Anolis sagrei: one gene and its partner. The protein of the gene in region 2 interacts with the protein of the main gene of each other region in a biochemical or structural test. Links are inferred from orthologs where the notes say so. Each region holds a gene or a part of one and is shown on either strand. Other genes may lie near its edges. The genes, in order: BAG2 and PINK1.

Region 1 (8,019 bases), on a different chromosome or scaffold from region 2:
GAGGGCTGCAGTTTGAGGATGCCTGCTCCAGATGATTTGGTGCTCAGTCCAGATGGTAAATCAGTACCCGGGCTGTAGCCCTTCAAGTCCCAAATGGAACAGGCCAACCACAGCATTTCAATTGCTACACCTTTTCCATTCCTTTCATGTCTGGGAAAATACAGAGGTAGTAATTTATGGGACAGGTTTGGCTACTTCGAATACGAAACTCTCTCCTTATAGCATATCTATTACTAATGGCAAAGCGAGCATAGCTTCCCAATTAGAGCAAAATTAGTACTGAGGGTGCTTTTATTGTGTTCATGTTCCTCGTTTACTATATAAAAAACTAGCTGGGAGGGTTGCTGGGAGTTGCAGTCCAGGAATAGGAAATTGGAAATATGCAGGGATTGGGATGCTCTCAAAGAAATCCAAGGAGAAGAAAGCTTGCATCCTGGAAGCAGTGCATTTGGATCATCCTCCTCTCCTAAAGGGCCTGGTCTAGGGGATGCTGGGAGCTGTAGTCCGAAAGAGAGTGTGGATATGCTTTTGTGTGTTTTGTTTACCAGGAGAGTAATTTTTGTGCATGCGTTGTAGAGTCTTTTTGGTTTTTTGGATTTTAAGTCCCTTCCGCTGTGTTTTTCAGTGTTTTTAGGAGTGGTGGTCACTCAATGGCCTGATAGGTGTATTGTGTCCAAATTTGATGTCAACTCATCCAGTGGTTTTTGAGCTATGTTAATCTCAGAAACATTACATTTTTTTTAATATGGTTACTAGCCGTTCCCTGCCAGACATTGCTCTGGCCCGGTCTGGTGATCCGGAAAATAAAGTAACGAGAAAGCGTTGGTTTCTAATCTGTCATTTCTTTATGCTTGTAGGTAAACAGTATTTCTTGTTGTTTCTTTGTCAGTGTTGGAGATTGCCTGGTTTGCCTCCTCTGGAACATGCAACATAGAATTGTCCTTGTTTAGGGTCCCTTTCCAATCTATGATACTATAGTAGTGTGTGTGTGTGTGTGTGAATCATATATATCTATCTACATCTATGGCTGGATGGCTCTTTGTCAGGAGGGCTTTGATTACGTTTTCTTGCCCTCGTGAAGGGAGTTGGACTGGATGGCCTTGAGTATTTGAGTATTTTCTGTTGGTCATGGGGGTTCTGTGTGGGAAGTTTGGCCCAATTCTGTCATTTGGTGGGGTTCAGATTGCTATTTGATTGTAGGTGAACTATAAATCCCAGCAACTACAATTCCCAAATGTAAAGGTCTATTTCCCCCAAACTCCATGTGTTCATATTTGGGCATATGAAATATTTGTGCTAAATTTGGTCTGGATCATTGTGTGAATCCACAGTGCTCTCTGGATGAAGGTGAACTACAACTCCCAAACTTAAGATCAATGCCCATAAATGCCCATGTTGGTCATGGGAGTCCTGTGTGCCACATTTGTTTGAATTCCATCATTGGTGGGGTTCAGAATGCCCTTTGATTGTAGGTTAACTATAAATCCCATCAAATACAACTCCTAAATGACAAAATCATTTTTTTAGTGATGGTCACTTCTTGGGTTAGAAGGTGTCTTGTGGCCAAATTTGACAGCAATTCATCCAGTGGACTTTGAGTTATGTTAATCTCACAAACAAACATTACATTTTTATTTATATAGAGTAGCTGTCCCCTGCCATGCGTTGCTGTGGCCCAATCTGGTGATCTGGAAAATAAAGTAATGAGAAAGTGTTGGTTTCTAATATAGGTAATTTCTTTCTGCTTGTGGGTAAACAGTATTTCTTGCTGTTTCTTTGTCAGTCTTGATGTAGAGATTGTCAGGTTTGCCTACTCTGAAACAGGCAACATATCATTGTCCTTCTTTAGAGGTCCCTTTCAAATCTAGGATACTATATCTGTCATATACATATGTGTGTGTGTGTGAATCATATCTATATATCTATATGACTGGATGGCTTTTTGTCAGGAAGGCTTAGATTGTGTTTTCTTGCACTGGTGAAGGGAGTTGGACTGGATGGCAGCATTTCTCAACCTGTGGGTCGGGACCCTGGGGGGGGGGGGGGTCATGAGGGGTTATCAGAAGGGTCACCCAGTGATTTCGGCCATAAAGGCCTTCAACAATACAATACAATACAATACAATACAATACAATACAATACAATACAATACAATACATACATACATATATATATATATTGTGTGTGTGTGTGTGTGTGTGTGTGTGTGTGTATAGTAAGCTGCTCTGAGTCCCCTTTGGGGTGAGAAGGGCGGCATATAAATGTCGTAAATAATAATAATAATAATAATAATAATAATAATAATAATAATGAAGACAGACTGTGGGGCAGACTGGTTCTGTGTTTATGCTGGGCCAAATAGGCCCACAACCTGCAACAAAAAAGGCACAGGAGATAAAGTAGATAAAGGAAAGGGCCTGAGGCTGTTAGGAATGGTGGGAGTTGAAGTCCAAAACCCCTGGAGGGAGGGCCCAAGTTTGCTCGTGCCTGATCTACCCTGTAGCCTGAATGCACCTTGGCACCACTTTGACCTGCCCTGTTTCAATGCTATGGAATCATAGGAATTGTAGTCTTAAAAAAACAAGCCTTCAGCCTCCTCTGCCAAAGGGTGCAAGTGCGTCTCCAAACTACAACTTCCAAGACCCCAGTACAAAGCGGTGTCATTGAAGTTGTGTGTTTTGGAGAGGCAGGAGAGGAGAACTCTGGGGATGGCCTGCAGCGCGGCTTCCCTTCGCCTAGTCCACGGTGCACGCGCCTCTTGCTTGCCCGCCCGCCCGCTCACCCGCGCGCTCCCTCCTTCCCCTTGGGCTGGTGCCTGACCTGAGCTCGAGCTGGTCGAGGCTCTCCAGGAGGCGGCTGGAGCGGTCGGCCATGGAAGTGGAGCGGAAGAAGCGGCCCCGGCGAGGCGGCGGCACTCCCCCTTCCCCGGGCTCCGAAGCGAGGAGGCTTTTGGAGGCGCTGCTCTTGGCCTGGGCCATCGCCGCTCCGCCTCAGCTTCTCCCTCTGCCTGCGCCGCCCGAGGCTCCTCCCTCCCGAACAAGGAGGACAGGCAGCAGGGCCGCCCAGGGCACGCCTGCCCGCCCTTCTCCAGTCTCCAGTCCAGGCTGCTCTCCAGTCCAGCTGTTTTGGACTTCAACTCCCACAATGTTGGACACCACCAAAGCCTTCCAGGCAGATGGCCACAGCCATAGTTAGGACAGACATTTTATATATATATATATATATACACACCCACACACACAATCGATATCATAGATTTGGAAGAGACTACAAGGACCATCCAGCCCAACCCACTTCTGCCATGCAAGAAGACACCATCAAAGCCTTCCAGGCAGATGGCCAGACAGCCATTGTTATGACAGATATTATATACAGTATATAGAAAGAGAGAGGGGAGGAGAGAATGTGTGCGTGCGTATATATATATATATATATATATATATATATATATATATATATATAGTGTGTGTGTGTGTGTGTGTGTGTATACACACACACGTACACACAATAGATATAATAGATTTGGAAGAGACCACAAGGACCATCCAATCCAACCCTCTTCTGCCATGCAAGAAGACACCATCAGAGCCTTCCAGACAGATGACCAGCCAGCCATAGTTGTGACAGGCTACACACACACACACACACATATATATACACACACACAAGCAATAGATATAGATCTGTAAGAGACCGCAAAGACCATCCAGTCCAACCCTCTTCTGCCACACAAGAAGACACCATCAGAGCCTTCCAAACAGATGACCAGCCAGCCATAATTGTGACAGGCTATACACACACGTATACACACACACACAATAGATATCATAAATCTGTAAGAGAGCACAAGGCCCCTCCAGTCCAACCCTCTTCTGCCACACAAGAAGACACCCTCAAAGCCTTCCAGTCAGATGGCCAGGCCATCATAGATATGATAGACGTCATTCAATACATGCACACACACACAATTTAGAATCCTAGAGTTGGAAGGAACCCCAAGGGGCCATCCAGTCCAACCCTCTTCTGCCCTGCAAGAAGACACCACCAAAGACTTCCAGGCAGATGGCCAGCTAGCCTAGATATGACAGACATTTAAAATATTTTTTTACACATATACACACAATAGATGTCACAGATCTGGAAGAGATCATAAGGACCACTCAGTCCAACCCACTTCTGCCATGCAAGAAGACACCATCAAGACCTTTCAGACAGATGGCCAGCCAGTCATAGTTATAACAGGTGCTCTCTCTCTCTCTCTCTCTCTCTCTCTCTCTCTCTATATATATACACACACACACACATACATACATACATACAAACAGTAGAGATCATAGATCTGTAAGAGACAACAAGGACCATCCAGTCCAACCCACTTCTGCCATGCAAAAGTGGGTGTCCAAAGCCTTCCAGGTGGATAGCCAGACAATCATAGATATGATAGACATCATTCAATAAACACACACACGTACACAGTTTAGAATCCTAGAGCTGGAAGGGACCCAAGGGGCCATCCAGTCTAACCCTCTTCTGCCTGCAAGAAGACACTACAAAAGCCTTCCAGATAGATGGCTATACAGTCATAGATATGATAGACCTCATTCAAAACACACCTACATAAACAGATGCACTCACACAGCTTAGAATCCTAGAGTTGGAATATCAACTTTTTTCCTCCACTCATAAAAGCTGTCCTGATGCTCTCCCAAAAGTGAAAGGTTTTGCCTGCTCTAACAAGTCCTTTCTTCCTCTTAAGTTTCTATTAGGACCCAGCAGCCCTGCAGTCTCTTGAGCGCATGCCAAGGGCTGGCACAAACTTTCCTTTCTTTAACTGCACTGCAGTGATTTGGTTTCTCAACCTTCTTTTCAAAGAAGAGGACAGGGTTTTTTACAAAAGTATTTCTTACCAATTTAGATTTTTTCCTAGAAAATGTTATTTTAAAAAAACACAACTGAAGTTAATTTTCAAAAATACAGCAACACTACATTAAGGACAGCAAGAGAGTGTGAGAGTGTAGACCAGTGTTTCTCAACCTTCCTAATGGTAGACCCCTTAGTACAGTTCCTCATGTTGTGGTGACCCCCAACCATAACATTATTTTCGCTGCGACTTCATAACTGTAATTTTGCTAGTATTATGAATTGTAATGTAAAATCTGATATACAGGATGTATTTTCATTCACTGGACCAAATTTGGCACAAACAATTTGAATACTGGTGGGGTTGGGGGGAAGATTGATTTTTGTCATTTGGGAGTTGTAGTTGCTGGGATTTATAGTTCACCTACAATCAAAGAGCATTCTGAACTCCACCAACGATGGAATTGAAGCTAACTTGGCACACAGAACTCCCATAGACAACAGAAAATACTGGGAGGGTTTGGTGGACATTGACTTTGAGTTTGTGAGTTGTAGTTCACCTACATCCAGAGAGCACTGTGGACTCAAACAGTGATTAATCTGGACCAAACTTGGCACGGATACTCAATAGGCCGAAATGTTAATGGTGGGGCTTGGGGAAAATAGACCTCAACATTTGTGAGACCTCACAACCTCTGAGGATGCCTGCTATAGATGCAGGCAAAACGTCAGGAGAGAATGCATCTAGAACATGGTCATATAGCCCAAAAAACCGACAACCCAGCCTGGCTCTTTCTTGAGCCCCGATGGAACCCCCAGTGGTGCAGCAGGTTAAACCGCTGAGCTACTGAACTTGCTGACCAAAAGGTCAGCGGTTCAGATCCAAGGAGCAGCATGAGCTCCCGCTGTTAGCCCCAGCTTCTGCCGCTCCATGTAATCATGCTGGCCACATAACCTTGGAGGTGTTTACAGACAACGCCTGCTCTTCGGCTTAGAAATGGAGATGCGTGCCACCCCCAGAGTTGGACACAACTAGACTTAATGTCAAGGGGAAACATTTATCTTTTTTCATGAGTCAGATTTTGATGGAGGGAGAAATTGGTTCAATTGGTGGCTGGGAGATTTCCAAAAATCAGACTGCAATCGTAACTTAGGCTATAATTGCTAGTTTAAGTTCCTGAAAGTTGTGGCACATCAAACAGTACTGTAAAGTCATTTTGTTAGGGGCCTTAACAGCAACTGGAAGTCTTTTTATAAATAGGTACTTGAAGATGACAGAAGACTTTCCTTTTATGAAAGGAAGTATGTTGTGGCTTCAGAGTTCAATAATGTTAACCATAATTGGAAGGACTAGAAGACTGTGCGTCAAGATGGTATTCACTCACTCATGGGTTTCGTTACATAGCTTTAAAAGGTTTGATGCTTTCTAGCTCAACCCCTTTTCTCCATAGCCCTGAAAGCACGAGTACAGAAACTCATGGTCCGCCAGACACTATAAAAGTGCATGTTGTAAAGACATTGACCATGCCGCATGGAGTTGATATAGAGCCGTGCTGTACCTTTTCTATGGGGAGTTTTTCTCCCCTTCAGAAAAAACAAAGGTGCTATTTTCACATGGCTTGCTATTCAGAGCGTAGGTGTTAACAGAATACTTTCTGGACAGGATCATCTTACAGGGCTTATTTGTGGGCAGGTTGACCGGCACTCACTCCCTCGGGGAAGATTCGCACAGCTATATCCGCATGGCTAAAAGCAAAAACATGTGGATATTGTTACAGCAGAATGTGTCAATGGACGAAGGATGGTCCCTGGTGGGAAGAGGGTGGTAATAGCAACATTCAGATTGCATGCTGTGGGTAGACTTTGGGAATTAAAAGTTAATGAAGTGAAAAAAGGAGCACTTTAGCAGAGAATGTTAATACACGTGTCTAGTTTGAATTAGAATTTTATTCCAGTTGGATTAGTAATAGAATACAGCACTTAGATCTTGAAGGGTATTGATTAGGTGATTGAGACTGTATGAAAAAGATGGGAATGCTACTCACCAACACCCTTCTGAAATGTGATAGTCACCCCAAAGATGGACAATATTTGTTGGTCTCCTTATAGCAAGGGAATGAGACATGTAGGGAACTGCTCGAAGTATTTAAGGTCTTTCCTAAGGATAGCTTACATTTCCCCCTAGACCAGGGGTCCTCAAACTAAGGCCTGGGGGCCGGATATGGCCCTCCAAGGTCATTTACCCGGCCCTCACTCAGGGTCAACCTAAGTCTGAAATGACTTGAAAGCACACAACAACAACAACAACAACAATCCTATCTCATCAGCCAAAAGCAGGTCCACACTTCCCACTGAAATACTAATAAGTTTATGTTTGTTAAAATCGTTCTTCATTTTAATTATTGTATTGTTTTAAGTGTTTTTTGCACTACAAATAAAATATGTGCAGTGTGCATGGGAATTCATTCATATTTTTTTTCAAATTATAATCCGGCCCTCCAACAGTTTGAGGGACTCTGACCTGGCCCTGTTTAAAACGTTTGAGGACCCCTGCCCTAGACTATTGCAGGCGGTGGTTTGATTTTCTCATTCAACATATAACCTAAAAATCTCAGGAAACCTGGATTTGTCTATTTCTATTCTATGCCTATTTTATCCCCCTGTGCTGTTTAACATATACATGAAATCACTGAGAGAGGTCATCCGGAGTTTTGGAGTACGGTGCCATATTGCATATGCAGATGATACCCAACTCTACTACGCCTTTCCATCTATTGCCAAGGAAGCTCTCCTAACCCCAAACCAATGTCTGCCATCAGTAATGGACTGGATGAGGGTAAACAATTTGAAATTTAATCCAGACAAGACAGGAGTACTCCTGGTCATTCAGAAGGCAGGCCAAGGAATAGGTATCCAGCCTGTAGTGGATGGGGTCACACTTCCCCTGAAGACACAGGCCCACTGTTTGGGGATCTTCCTAGACTCAGCACTGAACATGGAGGCCCATGTATCTGCGGTGGCCAGGAGGGCCTTTACACAATTAAAACAGTAGTCTATGCCCTAGTTACATCCCATTTGGATTACTGACACGCTGTACTTGGGGCTGCCTCTGAAAAGTGCTCGGAAACTTCAGCTGGCCCAAAGAGCTGCAGCCAGGTT
Region 2 (8,204 bases):
TATATGATTATATTTTATATTATTATTTCATATATTTATATTATTTTCATATTATTCTATATTTTTATTTTATTTTCATTTTATATCTATTTCCTTATTTCTTCCTTCTGTTTATACAAATATTTCGTGTTATTTTATATTATTATATTTTATATTATTATTTCATATTATTTTCATGTTATTCTATATTTTATATTTATTTTATATCTATTTCCTTATTTCATCCTTTTATATTATTATATTTTATATTATTATATTTTATATTATTATATTTTATATTATTATTTCATATATTTATATTATTTTCATATTATTCTATATTTTTATTTTGTTTTCATTTTATATTTCCTTATTTCTCCCTTCTGTTTATACAAAGATTTCATATTATTTTATATTATTATAAAATATAATAATTATTTTCATATATTTATATTATTTTCATATTATTCTATATCTTATATTTATTTTATATCTATTTCCTTATTTCTTCCTTCTTTTATATGATTATATCTTTTATTATTATTTCATATTATTTTCATATTATTCTATATATTTTTTATTTTAATTTTATATCTATTTCCTTATTTCTTCCTTTTATATGATTATATTTTATGATTATATTTTATATTAATATTTCATATATTTATATTATTTTCATATTATTCTATATCTTTATTTTATATCTATTTATTTCTTCCTTGTTTATACAAAGATTTCATGTTATTTTATATTATTATATTTTATATTATTTTCATATATTTATATTATTTTCATATTATTCTATATTTTTATTTATTTTATATCCATTTCCTTATTTCTTCCTCCTTTTATATGATTCTATTTTATATTATTATTTCATATTATTTCATATATTTATATTATTTTCATATTATTCTATATCTTTTAATTATTTTATATGATTATATTTTATATTATTATTTCATATTTTTATTTTATTTTCATATTATTCTATATTTTTATTTATTTTATATCCATTTCCTTATTTCTTCCTCCTTTTATATGATTCTATTTTATATTATTATTTCATATTATTTCATATATTTATATTATTTTCATATTATTCTATATCTTTTAATTATTTTATATGATTATATTTTATATTATTATTTCATATTTTTATTTTATTTTCATATTATTCGATATTTTTATTTATTTTATATCTATTTCCTTATTTCTTCCTTCTTTTATATGATTATATTTTATATTTTATTTTATATTATTTTACATTATTTCATATTATTTCATATTTTATATTATTTTATATTATTTATTTTATACTTAATTTTATATTATTTTATATTATTATTTCATATTTTATATTATTTTATATTATTTATTTAATATTTTATTTTATATTATTTTACATTATTTCATATTATTTTATATTTTATATTATTTTCATATTATTTATTTTATATTTAATTTTATATTATTTTACATTATTATTTCATATTATTTCATATTTTATATTATTTTCATGTTATTTATTTTATATTTAATTTTATATTTTATATTACTTTCATATTATTTCTTTTATATTATTATTTCATATTATTTCATATTTTTATATTATTTTATATTATTTATTTTATATTTAATTTTATATTATTTTATATTATTATTTCATATTATTTTATATTTTTATATTATTTTCATATTATTCTATATTTTTATTTCATATTTTTATACCATTTTCATATTATTTATTTTATATTTAACTTTATATTATTTTACATTATTTCATATTTCATATTTTTATATTATTTTATATTATTTATTTTATATTTAAATTTATATTATTTCATATTACTATTTCATATTATTTTATATTATTTTCATGTTATTTATTTTATATTTAAATTTATATTATTTTATATTATTGTTTCATATTATTTCATATTATTTATTTTATAATGTTATATTATTTTATATTATTATTTCATATTATTTTCAGATTATTTATTTTATATTTAATTTTATATTGTTTTATATTATTATAAAATATTATTCTATATTTTTATTTTATATTTTATATCTATTTCATTATATTGTATTTTATATTATTGTAAAATAATATTCTTTTTTAATATTTTATATTATTAGTTCATATATTTATATTGTTTTCATATTATTTTATATTTTTATATTTAATTTACTTTAATTTTATATTATTATTTCATATTATTTCATATTTTATATCATTTTCATATTATTCTATATTTTTATTTTATATTTTTATATTTAAATTAATATTATTTTATATTATTATTTCCTATTATTTATTTTATATTTAAGTTTATATTTAAGTTTATATTATTTTCTATTATTATTTCCTATTATTTCATATTTTTCTATTATTTTCATGTTATTTATATTATTTATTTTCTATTTAATTCTCTATTATTTTCATATTATATTCTAATTGTGATATTTTTTTGGCCGCCATGATGGCTCATCCTTCTGCGCCTGCGCAAAAGCCTTCCCGTCTCCACCTGCGACTACTCTCCCGTTTCCTTGGCAACAAGTCCTAGAGAGTACCGTTTCCACGGCAACGAGGCCTAGTCCGCCAGCGGACGCCTGACTCGATTTGTATCCGCCCACCTGGATGTCCTGGCAAGCCTCGTCCGCCCTCCTCTGCTCGGCCAGCGCGGGCTCAAACAACGCGAGCCCGAGGCTGAAGGCTAAGCCGAGGCGGCGAGGCCCAAGCGGGACCCTTGGGTGGAAGAAGCGCGGGCTCCGGGTGAGGCCTAGCCAAGCCGCGGCCTCGCGTAGGAAGCCCCCCGGGCGGAGGGGAACGGCTGCGGGGGGATGAACCGGAAGTGGAGGCCGCGGCGCTCCTCCGACCCAGCGCCATAGCAAGGCCCGGCCCAAGCGGGCCCCGCGGCCTAGCGCCTGCCGGAGCGCCATCGCAGCCCCGAGCTGGAGTTGTTGTTGTGGCCGGGATTGTGACGCCCACGAGGCGGGGCCTCTTTCCTCCTGCTAGGCCATCCTTGCGCATGCGCAGAAGGCTATTGCGTTTCCTTCAGGGATACACCATCAAAACCGTCCAGACAGATGGTCATCCAAGTTCTGCTAATAATAATAATAATAATACTAATAATAATAATAATAATAATAATAATAGAATCCTAGAGTCGGAAGGGACCCCCAAAGGTCATCCAGTCCAACCCCCTTCTGACATAATGGGAAACACCATCAAAACCGTCCAGACAGATGCTCATCCAAGCTCTGATAATAATAATAATAATAATAATAATAATAATAATAATAATAATAGAATCCTAGAGTCGGAAGGGACCCCCAAAGGTCATCCAGCCCAACCCCCTTCTGACATAATGGGAAACACCATGAAAACCGTCCAAACAGATGGTCATCCAAGCTCTGCTAATAATAATAATAATAATAATAATAATAATAATAATAATAATAGAATCCTAGAGTCGGGAGGGACCCCCAAAGGTCATCCAGTCCAACCCCCTTCTGACATAATGGGAAACACCATCAAAACCGTCCAGACAGATGGTCATCCAAACTCTGCTAATAATAATAATAATAATAATAATAATAATAATAATAATAATAGAATCCTAGAGTCGGGAGGGACCCCCAAAGGTCATCCAGTCCAACCCCCTTCTGACATAATGGGAAACACCATCAAAACCATCCAGACAGATGCTCATCCAAGCTCTGATAATAATAATAATAATAATAATAATAATAATAATAGACACCTAGAGTCATCCAAGTTCCAATAATAATAATAATAATAATAATAATAATAATAGCATCCTAGAGTCGGAAGGGACTCCCAAAGGCCATGAAGCCGCTGGGGGAGTTTCGGATTGAGATGTTATCTCTATGCAGATGACGTCCAGATCTGTCACTCCTCACCTGTCACCAAGGAGGCCGTCCAGACCTTGAACCGGTGCTTGGCCGCTGTGTCGGATTGGATGAGAGCTAATAAATTGAAATTGAATCCAGACAAGACAGAGGTCCTACTGGTCAATCGCAAGGCCGAACAGGGCATAGGGTCACAGCCTGTGTTAGACGGGGTTACACTCCCCCTGAAGACTTGGGGGTCATCCTGGACTCATGGCTGAGCCTGGAACCCCAGGTCTCGGCGGTGGCTGGGAGAGCTTTTGCACAATTAAAACTTGTGCACCAGTTGTGCCCGTTCCTTGGGAAGTCTGATCTGGCCACAGTGGTCTACAGCCTTGTTACATCCCGTATAGACTACTGCAACGCACTCTACGTGGGGTTGCCCTTGAAGACTGTTCGGAAACTTCAACTGGTCCAGCGAGCGGCAGCCAGATTGCTCACCGGAGCGACATACAGGGTTGTGTCAGCTCCAGTGGCTGCCAGTTCAGTTCCGAGCACAATTCAAAGTGCTGGTTTTGACCTACAAAACCCTATATGGTTCCGGTCCAGCGTATCCGTCCGAACGGATCTCCCTCTACGTCCCACCCCGGAGTCTGAGATCATCTGGGGAGGCCCTGCTCTTGACCCCACCGCTATCACAAGTGAGGCTGGTGGGGACGAGGAGCAGGGCCTTCTCAGTGGTGGCCCCTCACTTGTGGAACTCACTCCCGGGAGAAATCAGGGCATCAACTTCCCTGAGTCCCCTCCGGGGTGAGAAGGGCGGGGTAAAAGAAACCGAAATAAATCTGCTTGTCCCATTTTGATGGATTCATTTCAATTGGTGAAACCTGAGGATGTGGACAAGGTGCTTGGAGGAATGACCACGTCCATCCTAGACCCCTGCCCATCCTGGCTTCTGAAGGAGGCCAGAGGGGGATTGGCTGGGTGGGTTAAGGTGGTGGTTAACGCCTCCCTTCGGGAAGGCAAAATTCCAGCGAGCCTAAAACAAGCTATAATCAAACCGCTGTTGAAGAAACCATCACTGGACCCCACTCAATTCGACAACTTTCAGCCTGTTTCCAATCTCCCCTTCTTGGGCAAAGTCCTGGAACGTGTGGTGGCCTCACAACTCCAGGCATTCTTGGACGACACGGATTATCTGGATTCGGCACAGTCTGGTTTCAGACCGGGACATGGAACCGAGACGGCCTTGGTCGCCTTGGTGGATGATCTCCGCCGGGAGCTGGACAGGGGGAGTGTGTCCCTGTTGGTTCTGCTGGACCTCTCTTCGGCCTTCGATACCGTCAACCACGGTATCCTTCTGGAATGGGCCTTGGAGGCACTGTTCTGCAGTGTCTCCGGTCCTTCCTAGAGGTGTTACTGGGAGACTCCTGTTCAACTCCACAACCTTTGTCTTGTGGGGTTCTTCAGGGTTCAGTCTTGTCTCCCATGTTGTTTGACATCTACATGAAGCCGCTGGGGGAGATCATCCGGAGTTTCAGGGTGCGATGTCATCTGTACGCGGATGATGTCCAACTCTGTCTCTCCTTCCCACCTACTTCTAAGGAGGCTGTCCAGACCTTGAACCGGTGCTTGGCCGCTGTGACGGTCTGGATGAGGGCGAACAAATTGAAATTGAATCCAAACAAGACAGAGGTACTCCTGATCAGTCGTAAGGCCGAACAGGGTATAGGGTCACAGCCTGTGCTGGATGGGGTCGCACTTCCCCTGAAGCTTGGGTGTGACCCTGGACTCATCGCTGAGCCTGGAACCCCAGGTTTCGGCAGTGACCAGGGGAGCATTCGCACAGTTAAAACTTGTGCGCCAGCTGTGCCCGTACCTTGGGAAGTCTGACTTGGCCACGGTAGTCCATGCACTGGTTACATCCTGTATAGACTACTGCAATGCTCTCTACATGGGGCTGCCTTTGAAGACTGCTCGGAAGCTTCAAATGGTCCAACGATCGGCAGCCAGGTTCCTAACAGGATCAGCACTCAGGGAGCACACCACTCTTCTGTTGCGCCAGCTCCTCTGGCTACCAGTCTGCTACTGGGCACAATTCAAAGTGCTGGCCTTAGCCTATAAAGCCCTAAACCAGTGGTTCTCAACCTTCTTCATGTCCCGACCCCTTAATACGGTTCTCATGTTGTGGTGACCCCTAACCAAAACATTATTTCTGTTGCCACTTCAGAACTGGAATTTTGCTCCTGTTATGAATCGTAATGCAAATATCTGATTTGCTAGATGTATTTTCATTCACTGGACCAAATTCACTGGACAATCCAGGAGCATTTTTAACCAAGGATGGAACTGAACTTGGCACACAGAACTTCCATGACCAACAGAAAATACTGGGAGGGTTTGGTGGACCTTGAGTTTGGGAGTTGTAGTTCACCTACATCGAGAGAGCACTGTGGACTAAAACAATGATGGACCTGACTTGGCACGAATGCTCAATATGCCCAAATGTGAACACTGGTGGAGTTTGAGGGAAATAGACCTTACCATCTGGGAGTTATGGTTGCTGGGATGTATAGTTCACCTAGTGTCAAAGAGCATCTTGAACCCAACCAACAATAGAATTGGGCCAAACTTCTCACACAGAACCCCCATTACCAACAAAAAAATACTGTGTTTTCTGATGGTCTTTGGCGACCCCTCTGACGGGACCCCTCTGACTTTGGCGACCCCTCTGACGGGGGGGTCGGGACCCCTCAGGGGTCCCGACCCCCAGGTTGAGAAACACTGCAAACAGTTCTGGCCCAACTTACCTGTTTGAACGCATCTCCTCCTATGAACCAGTTAGGACGTTAAGATCGTCTGGGGAGGCCCTGCTCTCGGTCCCGTCGGCATCACAAGTACACCTGGCGGAGACGAGAGACAGGGCCTTCTCAGTGGTGGCCCCTCGGCTGTGGAACGCCCTTCCTACAGATATCAGATCGGCCCCCTCCTTATTGGCAAAGTGAAGACCTGGTTGTTCGAACAGGCAGTGTAATTGATTACAGGAACACGGAATAACGGATGATGAGATTGGATTCTGATTCTATTGACGAGACACAAATGATTTGTCATATTGATGTTTAATCGTTGTTATGCTATTGTTTTTAAATGTTCTAATGGTTTGGTAATGTGTGCATTGAAATTGCTGCTGTTAACCACTTTGAGGGCTGAGAAAAGCGGTATATAAGTGAAGTAAATTGTAATAATAATAATAATATATCCCCAACCCATCCGCAGTCCCTTTGAGATTCAAATATATGCAAATATATTCAATTTCCCCCCAGTTTTTGGAGGTTTTCCGGTCCAAAAGAAAGGGGCAAGAGTTCTTCCAAGGTCTTGTGGATGTAGGTCTCGTCGTCCCCTGCCTTGGTCAGGTAGATGTCCCAGTCTTTGCCAAACTAAGGAGAAAGGGAAAGGTAGAATGAATGGCATGTGCTTTGGAAAACTGCAACTCTCCCATCATCATCATCATCATTATCATCATTATCATCATTTTGTGTTGCTCATGGATTCAAGTGCCTAGTTTCCAAAGATGGAGACTTTACACGAAACTTGGCGTTATCCTGACGTTGCCTCAACTGAAGCAACATCATCATTTCTTCCTGGAATTACTTTGCATCCCAATCAAGAGATAAAAGCAGGACATGATCATTATCATCATCTTGTGTCGCTCATGGATTCAAGTGCCTAGTTTCCAAAGATGGAGACTTTACATGAAACTTGGTGTTATCCTGACGTTGCCTCAACTGAAGCAACGTCATCATCTCTTCCTGGAATTACTTTGCATCTCAATCAAGAGATAAAAGCAGGACATGATCATTATCATCATCATCTTGTGTCGCTTATGGATTCAAGTGCCTAGTTTCCAAAGATGGAGACTTTACATGAAACTTGGTGTTATCCTGACGTTGCCTCAACTGAAGCAACATCATCATCTCTTCCTGGAATTACTTTGCATCCCAATCAAGAGATAAAAGCAGGACATGATCATTATCATCATCATCTTGTGTCGCTCATGGATTCAAGTGCCTAGTTTCCAAAGATGGAGACTTTACATGAAACTTGGCGTTATCCTGACGTTGCCTCAACTGAAGCAATTGTCTCCCATCATCATCTCTTCCTGGAATTACTTTGCATCTCCATCAAGAGATAAAAGCAGGACATGATCATTATCACCATCATCTTGTGTTGCTCATGGATTCAAGTGCCTAGTTTCCAAAGATGAAGACTTTACATGAAACTTGGTGTTATCCTGACGTTGGCTCAACTGAAGCAACATCATCATCTCTTCCTGGAATTACTTTGCATCCCAATCAAGAGATAAA

What was found.
Region 1: the proteins of PINK1 (region 2) and BAG2 form a complex in vitro, tested with the Homo sapiens proteins (2 studies listed by BioGRID). The link is inferred for Anolis sagrei from reciprocal best matches to the Homo sapiens genes PINK1 and BAG2.

Annotation. Positions count from the first base shown.
Region 1 is NC_090021.1:118,661,720-118,669,738, forward strand, and holds the start of BAG2 (BAG family molecular chaperone regulator 2), read right to left. Parts: upstream 3,028-8,019; 5' UTR 2,979-3,027; coding exon 2,821-2,978; intron 1-2,820. UniProt on the Homo sapiens protein: Co-chaperone for HSP70 and HSC70 chaperone proteins. Acts as a nucleotide-exchange factor (NEF) promoting the release of ADP from the HSP70 and HSC70 proteins thereby triggering client/substrate protein release.
Region 2 is NC_090033.1:19,646,588-19,654,791, forward strand, and holds the start of PINK1 (serine/threonine-protein kinase PINK1, mitochondrial), read right to left. Parts: upstream 3,022-8,204; 5' UTR 2,929-3,021; coding exon 2,623-2,928; intron 1-2,622. Other genes in the region: CDA (cytidine deaminase), read right to left, coding at 7,149-7,277. UniProt on the Homo sapiens protein: Serine/threonine-protein kinase which acts as a sensor of mitochondrial damage and protects against mitochondrial dysfunction during cellular stress.